Macaca fascicularis: one gene and its partner. The protein of the gene in region 2 purifies or fractionates together with the protein of the main gene of each other region. This does not show direct contact. Links are inferred from orthologs where the notes say so. Each region holds a gene or a part of one and is shown on either strand. Other genes may lie near its edges.

The links. The genes of interacting proteins can lie anywhere in the genome.
Region 1: the proteins of AHDC1 (region 2) and CBX1 purify together in Homo sapiens (affinity purification with mass spectrometry; 4 studies listed by BioGRID and IntAct, with this or other methods). This does not show direct contact. The link is inferred for Macaca fascicularis from reciprocal best matches to the Homo sapiens genes AHDC1 and CBX1.

What each region holds. Positions count from the first base shown.
Region 1 is NC_088390.1:58,617,935-58,621,654, reverse strand, and holds the start of CBX1 (chromobox protein homolog 1), read right to left. Parts: upstream 2,819-3,720; 5' UTR 2,647-2,818; exon of another isoform or gene 2,605-2,646; intron 722-2,604; 5' UTR 604-721; intron 1-603. UniProt on the Homo sapiens protein: Component of heterochromatin. Recognizes and binds histone H3 tails methylated at 'Lys-9', leading to epigenetic repression. Interaction with lamin B receptor (LBR) can contribute to the association of the heterochromatin with the inner nuclear membrane.
Region 2 is NC_088375.1:207,521,670-207,525,314, reverse strand, and holds part of AHDC1 (transcription factor Gibbin), read right to left. Parts: coding exon 1,294-3,645; 3' UTR 1,251-1,293; intron 1-1,250. UniProt on the Homo sapiens protein: Transcription factor required for the proper patterning of the epidermis, which plays a key role in early epithelial morphogenesis. Directly binds promoter and enhancer regions and acts by maintaining local enhancer-promoter chromatin architecture.

The DNA of each region.
Region 1 (3,720 bases), on a different chromosome or scaffold from region 2:
CTGACCTTGTGATCCACCCGCCTCGGCCTCCCAAAGTGCTGGGATTATAGGTGTGAGCCACCACGCCTGGCCTGCACTTAACCTTTTTTTTTTTTTGAGACGGAGTCTCGCTTGGTAGCCCAGGCTGGAGTGAGTGGCCGGATCTCAGCTCACTGCAAGCTCCGCCTCCCGGGTTCCCGCCATTCTCCTGCCTCAGCCTCCCAAGTAGCTGGGACTACAGGCGCCCGCCACCTCGCCCGGCTAGTTTTTTGTATTTTTAGTAGAGACTAATACAAAAATACAAAAATTTTGTATTTTTAAAAATTTTGTAAAAATACAAAAATTTTGTATTTTTAGTAGAGACGGGGTTTCACCGTGTTAGCCAGGATGGTCTCGATCTCCTGACCTCGTGATCCGCCCGTCTCGGCCTCCCAAAGTGCTGGGATTACAGGCGTGAGCCACTGCGCCCGGCCCACTTAACCTTTAAGAAATGACTCCATCTCCAAGGTGGTGTGTACTTAAAAAATAAATAAATAAATAAATAAACACTTCCAGTCTCGGCAACATAGGGAGCCTCTATCTGTATAAAAATTAAAAAAATTAACCGAGTATGGTGGCACACACCTGTGGTCCCAGCAGCTCCAACGGCTGAGGTGGGAGGATGACTTGAGCCCTGGAGGTTGAGCCTGCAGTAAGCTGTGATCCTGCCACTGCACTCCAGTCTGGGCAACAGAGCAGGAACCTGTCTCAAAAAAACAAAGAAGGCCGGGCGCGGTGGCTCAAGCCTGTAATCCCAGCACTTTGGGAGGCCGAGGCGGGTGGATCACGAGGTCAGGAGATCGAGACCATCCTGGCTAACATGGTGAAACCCCGTCTCTACTAAAAATACAAAAAACTAGCCGGGCGTGGTGGCGGGCGCCTGTAGTCCCAGCTACTCGGAGGCTGAGGCAGGAGAATGGCGTGAACCTGGGAGGCGGAGCTTGCAGTGAGCCGAGATCGCGCCACTGCACTCCAGCCTGGGTGACACAGCGCGAGACTCCGTCTCAAAAAAAAAAAAAAAAAAAAAAAACAAAGAAAAGTTACCATTTGTTGAATTTGGGTAGTATCAAAGAAGAATATTCAAAATTGTTTGAGAAGGCTAAATATACTCTTCCTTTTCTCAACTACATATCTATTTAAGGCTGAATTTTCTTAATGTACCAAAACAACAGAGCACAACAGAGAAAGGGGAAGCACATATGAGAATCCAGCTATCTTCCTTAATTTTTTTTTTTTTTTTTTTTTTTTTTTTTTGAGACGGAGTCTTGCTCTGTCGCCCAGGCTGGAGTGCAGTGGCCGGATCTCGGCTCACTGCAAGCTCCGCCTCCCGGGTTCACGCCATTCTCCTGCCTCAGCCTCCCGAGTAGCTGGGACTACAGGCGCCCGCCACCTCGCCCGGCTAGTTTTTTGTATTTTTTAGTAGAGACGGGGTTTCACCGTGTTAGCCAGGATGGTCTTGATCTCCTGACCTCGTGATCCGCCCGTCTCGGCCTCCCAAAGTGCTGGGATTACAGGCTTGAGCCACCGCGCCCGGCCCAATTTTTTTTTATTTTTATTTTTTTACAATGGAGTCTCCCAGGCTGGAGTGTAATGGCGCAATCTTGGCTCACTGCAACCTCCAACTCCTGGGTTCAAGCAATCCCCCTGCGTCAGTCTCCTGAATAGCTGGGATTACAGGTGCCCATGACTATGCCCAGCTAATTTTTGTAGTTTTAGTAGAGACAGGGTTTCACCGTGTTGGCCAGGCTGGTCTCGAACTCTTGACCTCAGGTAATCCACCCGCCTCCAGCTCCCAAAGCGGTGGGATTACAGGCGTGAGACACCGTGCTCGGCCCCTTTCTTTTCTTCCTTTTAGCTGTTTTTCTTTTTTTCAGACAGGGTCTTGCTCTGCAGAGATCAGGGCTCCCTGCAGCCTCGAACCCCTGGTTCAAGCCTTCCTCCTGCCTCAGCCTCCCTAGTAGCTGGGACTACAGGCACATGCCACCACGCCTGGCTAATTTTTAAATTTTTTTTTGCAGAGACGAGAGTCTCCCTAAATTGGTAGGGCGTGTCTCAAGACTAGCCTCAAACGATCCTCCCGCCTCGGCCTCTCTAATAAGTGTTGGGATTACAGGCGTGAGCCACCGCGCTAGACTTGCTGAAATTATCTTTAAATAAGTTGTTAAAAGACCATCGCAAAAGTCTTCAACACATTGAACGGTTTTCTCTTGCTCCCTAGCTGCATGATGCTGCTTCGAGTTTGTTTTGGTGTGAGCCATCTGAGTCGCCGGACCCTCTCGAGTCTGGCTTTCACTCTGACAATCGGTCAGTGGCTTTACGAATCGGAATCGGAGTCCCCTCGATAGCTCCGCTGGGGAACAACAAACTACGAGGTTCCAATGGTGACTCTCGAGACTTAGTGAGGATCCAGGGATGTGGGCTTCCTAAAGCCCCGAACCTCCCACACTGCAGACGGTACCTCGCATTAAGGGAACAAGAGTAACAACCCCCTCACACCCCTCTGCTCTCGTGACCCACTGGCTGACCGTTGCGGACGCCCCCTGGCCGCTGATTGGCTTCCCCTGACAGTGGGCGGAACGCGGCCCCGGATTGGATATCCGAGCCCATTCGCCGTCCCTCACCCCGCACCTGCGTCCACTCTCTAGCGTCCCAAGTGAGTGGAGGGGGGATCCCGACTCCAGTCCCGGGCCTTGGCAAGCGGAACTGCGCCGTTCGGAAGCGGGAATCCCACTCAGAGCCCGGGCCTGTAAAGGCGGGGCGTCCTGGGCAGCCGGGGTTAGGGCGTCTCCCGTCGTGCACTGGGGCACCGGCGACTCACCCGGAAGGAGAAGCCGTGATCTGGCTATATGGTGGGGCGCGGGCGGTGTCGCTGTGGGGAGCTGGTGCTGTTCTCAGGTGAGAGTGCGTGGGCGGGGCCCCGGGGAGTAGGGGCTGCGCTCAGGTGAGGGGGCGTGGGCTTGAGCGTCAGTAGTGGCACTCGGGATGGTGGCATCGCTTTACATCCTAGGGAGGGACTCTCTTACCACCCGGCATTAAGGCAAGGGCTTGCTGGGGATCCAAAAACCGACTTTTCAGTTTACCTTCAAAGTATATCTTTCACTTCCTACTCCCCAGGCTTAATCGGAAAGGAAGAAGGATCATGTGGACCTTTCGGTCCTAGTTTGTTGCGAATGGAGGAGGAGTGATCGTAGTAAAAGACTGGGGACATTTACTTAAACGGCTAAGACTGGGGGCAATGGCGAGTATTTTACGTGGACACGGGAGACTTGCGGTAGATTGTGGTCGCCGTTGTTAATTACCTTCCAAGTGAAAGGAGTAGGTTAGAGATGGACAAAAAGATGGAGCATAACTGCTTGGTTGAGATCATACAAAGCTTGGTCAGAACTGGGAGCTTCCTCTATCTAGTACGTGTGATATTTATAATTGGAGGGAGAGCTTTTTGAATTGCTATCTGCCATCTGGCACTAAGGGCTCAAGATTGAGTAAGAAGGGACGGTAGTCTCAGTAGTTCCATCTACTTTAATCACCTGATTTTTTTCTTAACCTGTCTCTTGAAGTTGTTTAAATGGGAGAGAAAATAAATGGTGAGACTAAAGCCTTGTATTGTTACTATATTAGAAGCTTTACGATGAATCTACTTTGTAAACAGCAAACAATTGGGTACTCACCAGCGCTACTGGTGCTGGTACAGGTGAAGAAAGT
Region 2 (3,645 bases):
TTCCACTGACATGACTTCAGGACCCTGAGTCACCCTGGCCTTGAATGGCCTCCCAGAGCACGGATGGGACTTTCCAGGAGCCCAGCTACTCCTCCAGGAAGAGAAACTCCCAGGAAGCTTCAGTGGCAGCAAAGGTGAAGGGTGAGGGGCGCAGGCATGCCCCCAGCCTGCCCTGCCACCCACTACCACATCTGGGACAACTTTGTGACAGATCTATTGTCCAAAAGCGGGGCCAGTGGCGGCTGTATTTCTGGAGCAGGCTGTTCTTCAAGATGGCTCCTTCCACCTTGTTCTCTTTGATCATTTTGGGGGCATTTTTCTGTATTTTATTTTCCTTTTTTAAAACACCCAATCTTGAGAATACTAAAACTGACTCCAACTAATGAGGTCACAGTACCTGATAAAAACAGTATCGAAACATTTAACACTCTTTAACTGTACTCTCAGAAAAGCCTTTGGCTTCAGGAAAGGGACTGGCTTTTCTAGGGTCAAAATACCTTGCCTGAAGATAGTCTCACTGGTTGCAGGTTTGCAGGGACAGTGGGATCCCAGCACCCCTTCTCCACTTCTGGGTTCCTACCCCATATGCTCCTGGCCACACCTAGCCTATCTCAGGCCAAAGATGTTGGAAAATAGCCTTTGGGGGTACCTTGAGAGGTCAAGGGAAGACACTTTGGGCCATCCTGTGAAGCCCTCGCAGAGTGTGTGACCATGCCATACTGGCCACTCTTGGCCTGGCCCTCACCAGGCTGCCTCTTAGAATCGATGAAGTTCCCAGGGAAATGGGGGTGCCAGCAGGGCTGGTGCTCTGGATAGGCCCTGGGTAGACGACCATCCAACCTGCTCCTCCCTTCACCTGTCTCACACAGGGCAATGTAAATGCCCGCTCTTATCAGTGTATTTCCTGGGAAATACTTCCTATCCAAGACATAGCACGAACAAAGAACTGAAAGCTTGATGAACCAAACTACGGGGACCCATCCAGTGTATAGTCCTCTGGCCATTTCAATTAACAAGACCCCCTGAAAGTCCAAGCCCCTTGCCGAGTTCCCAGCCCAAGTACCCCATCTCCTTCTGAGGCTGTCCGCAACAGCGAATCCTCAGTCCCTATGCCCTGCTGTCGGTCCCCAGCCTTGCCCTTAAATCCTGCATCTGCTTCCTGCACTCCATACTTCTGTCCTTGACTAAGCTCTGATGTCCTCTCCCCACCCCCAGGCTTCTGCCCACTGCGCCCACATCCCCAGACTCACCCAGGAACAAAACCTCGCGGTCCAGTCGGCACTTCAGTTGGCACTACAGGGACGTGACGGTGAATGTGTCCTCAGGGTGAGGTTCCGCCATGGGCCCCAGGAAGCCGCTCTTGGGGCCCCCTCCCAGGCCAGGATGCGCCTGGGGCATAAAGCCTGGGTACCTGTAGGCGGTGTCCTGCAGGGGCAGCAGCGAGTCCCTCGGCACGGGGGACAGGGTCAAGTCACTAAGGAGTGGGCAGCCATAGCCAGCAGCGGCTGCAGCAGGGCCACGGGGTGGGCCAGGGGGCCGGGCCATTTCCAGTGGCTCCTTGTCGGCCTTGGGCGTGGCTGGTGGGCTAGCCAGGTGAGGGGCACTGAGGCACGCGGCCTCCGTCCTGCCCAGGAAGTCAGCCAGCAGCCCTGTACCCACCTTGCCTTCATAGGGCGGGCTGCGGGCAGCCGAGCCTGGAGGGTACCAATATGCTGTGCCCTTGCAGCTGGGGGAATCGTAGTGGGCCTGGCCCAGTGGCAGGTCCCGGCAGCTCAGGTGGGCCTGGGCTGCAGCTGCGTGGCCCAGGCTGGCCCCCTGGAGCCCATGCTTGAGGGGCTCGCAGGCAGCCAGCTTGGTGGGCGGTGGCCGCAGCTCTTCCTTGAAGCCCAGTGTAGGCGAGCAGGTGGGCGAGTATGCCTTCTGCAGGCCGGTGTCGAACACCGTGGGCGGGTGGGCCAGCGGTGGGAAATGCTTGCCATCAAGCTCGGGAGCACCCAGGCTGGGCGAGTCGCAGTGGAAGCCTTGGCCGAAGGTGCCATCGGAAGGCGTGGACGGGTTCATGGAGTAGGGTCCTATGAAGTCACAGGGGTCTCGCTCTCCCACGCCGAAGGCCCTCGACTGTGAGGGCAGTGGTGACATGCTGCTGTCCCCGCTATAGTAGTCCAGGCCTAGGTCAGGACTGTCCTGGAACAGTGGGTTGACCGGCTGTGGCTTGGGGATGAACTTGGCTTTGGCCGCTGCACCACCCCGCTCCTTCTTGGCTGAGCAGGCCCCACCGCCCCGTCCACCTCGCGGCTGCCGGGGCCCAGTGCTCCGTTTGGATGGGTAGCCTGAGGCAGCGGCAGAGGCGGATGTTGGGAAGCCCAGATGTGAGGCCTCGAATAGGTCCACCTTCTTCCGCCGTCCACGGCCCGGCTTGGAGCTACTCTGAAAGAGGACACTCTGGTTCCAGTTGTAGCCGGGGGCAGATGATGCCTCGTTCCAGTCCATCATCAGTTTCTCCAGGCTGGACAGGCTCGACTGGCCCTCACTACTTGAGGCTTCGCTGTTGGCACGCCGAAACCCGCCGCCACCGACCGGCTGATTGAACTGGGTGCTGTCGGAGGATGACTCGGAGAAGGTCTCCGACACAGCCGTCTGCTGCTTCACCTTCTGTGGTGTGTAGTTGGAGATGTCCAGGATCACGTTGGGCTCACTGACGTGGCAGTCAAAACTGGGATTGTAGAGCTGACTAAAGGCCTCTGAGGCCCAGTCCAGGCCTCCATAGCCCTGCCGGAAAGGCCACTGAGAAGCCCCCGCAAACTGGCGACAGTTCTCGGGCGAGGGCTGGAAGGAGGAAGAGGAGGAGGAGGCGGCAGAGGCTGCAGAGGTGGCAGAGGCTGTGGTGCCCTTGGGCACCATGTAGCCACCAGGCGAGACTGTGCTGGCCCGGCTGTCACAGCGCAGGGGCGTGGGGGCTGAACCAGAGAAGGGGGCCCCCTCAGAGCTGTTGAAGAAGGAGGCCTTGCTTGGTGGCAGGCAGGGGCCCCCGGTAGGCGGTGGGGCATAGCCGGCGCTGTGGGCGCTGCTGGGTGAGGCAGGGAGGCTGTTGCCACTGCCATAGGCAAAGCTGCAGTCCTTGCTGTTAGCGCAGTCCTGGCCTGTAAAGGGCTTAGCCGGGGCAAATACGCTTTGTCCAGCCCCGTAGCCGCCATACTGGGACAGGTAGGTGTTGGCAGGCGGGTGGGTGGTAGGTGAGCGGGCCACGGCTGAGGGCGGGGGAGCCAGCTTGGGGAAGGTCTCGGCTGCCCGGCAGTCTGAAGTGGCCGGAGTTAGCCCATAGCTCGCTGCCCGTCCTGGTGGGAAGGTCTGGCGCGTGGGCAGGACAGGCTGGAAGGAGGTGTCCGCCCCAGCCCCACCACTACCCACTGCCACTGGGCTGGCCTTGGCTCCCCGGCTAGGGAAGGTGGCAAGGCCCCGCTGGGCAGGTAGGGCGCTGGTGGGTGGCCCTGCATAGGTGCCTGATGCCTTCCGGGACTCTGGGCGAGAGGCTGAGAGGGCAAAGTCCAAGAGATCGGAGGAGTCATCCGAATCGAGCAGCGAGCGAAAGTAGCCGGTGAAGAGGTTTTGGCGCTCCTGGCTGAGCTCGGTCTGGCCTGAGGGTGC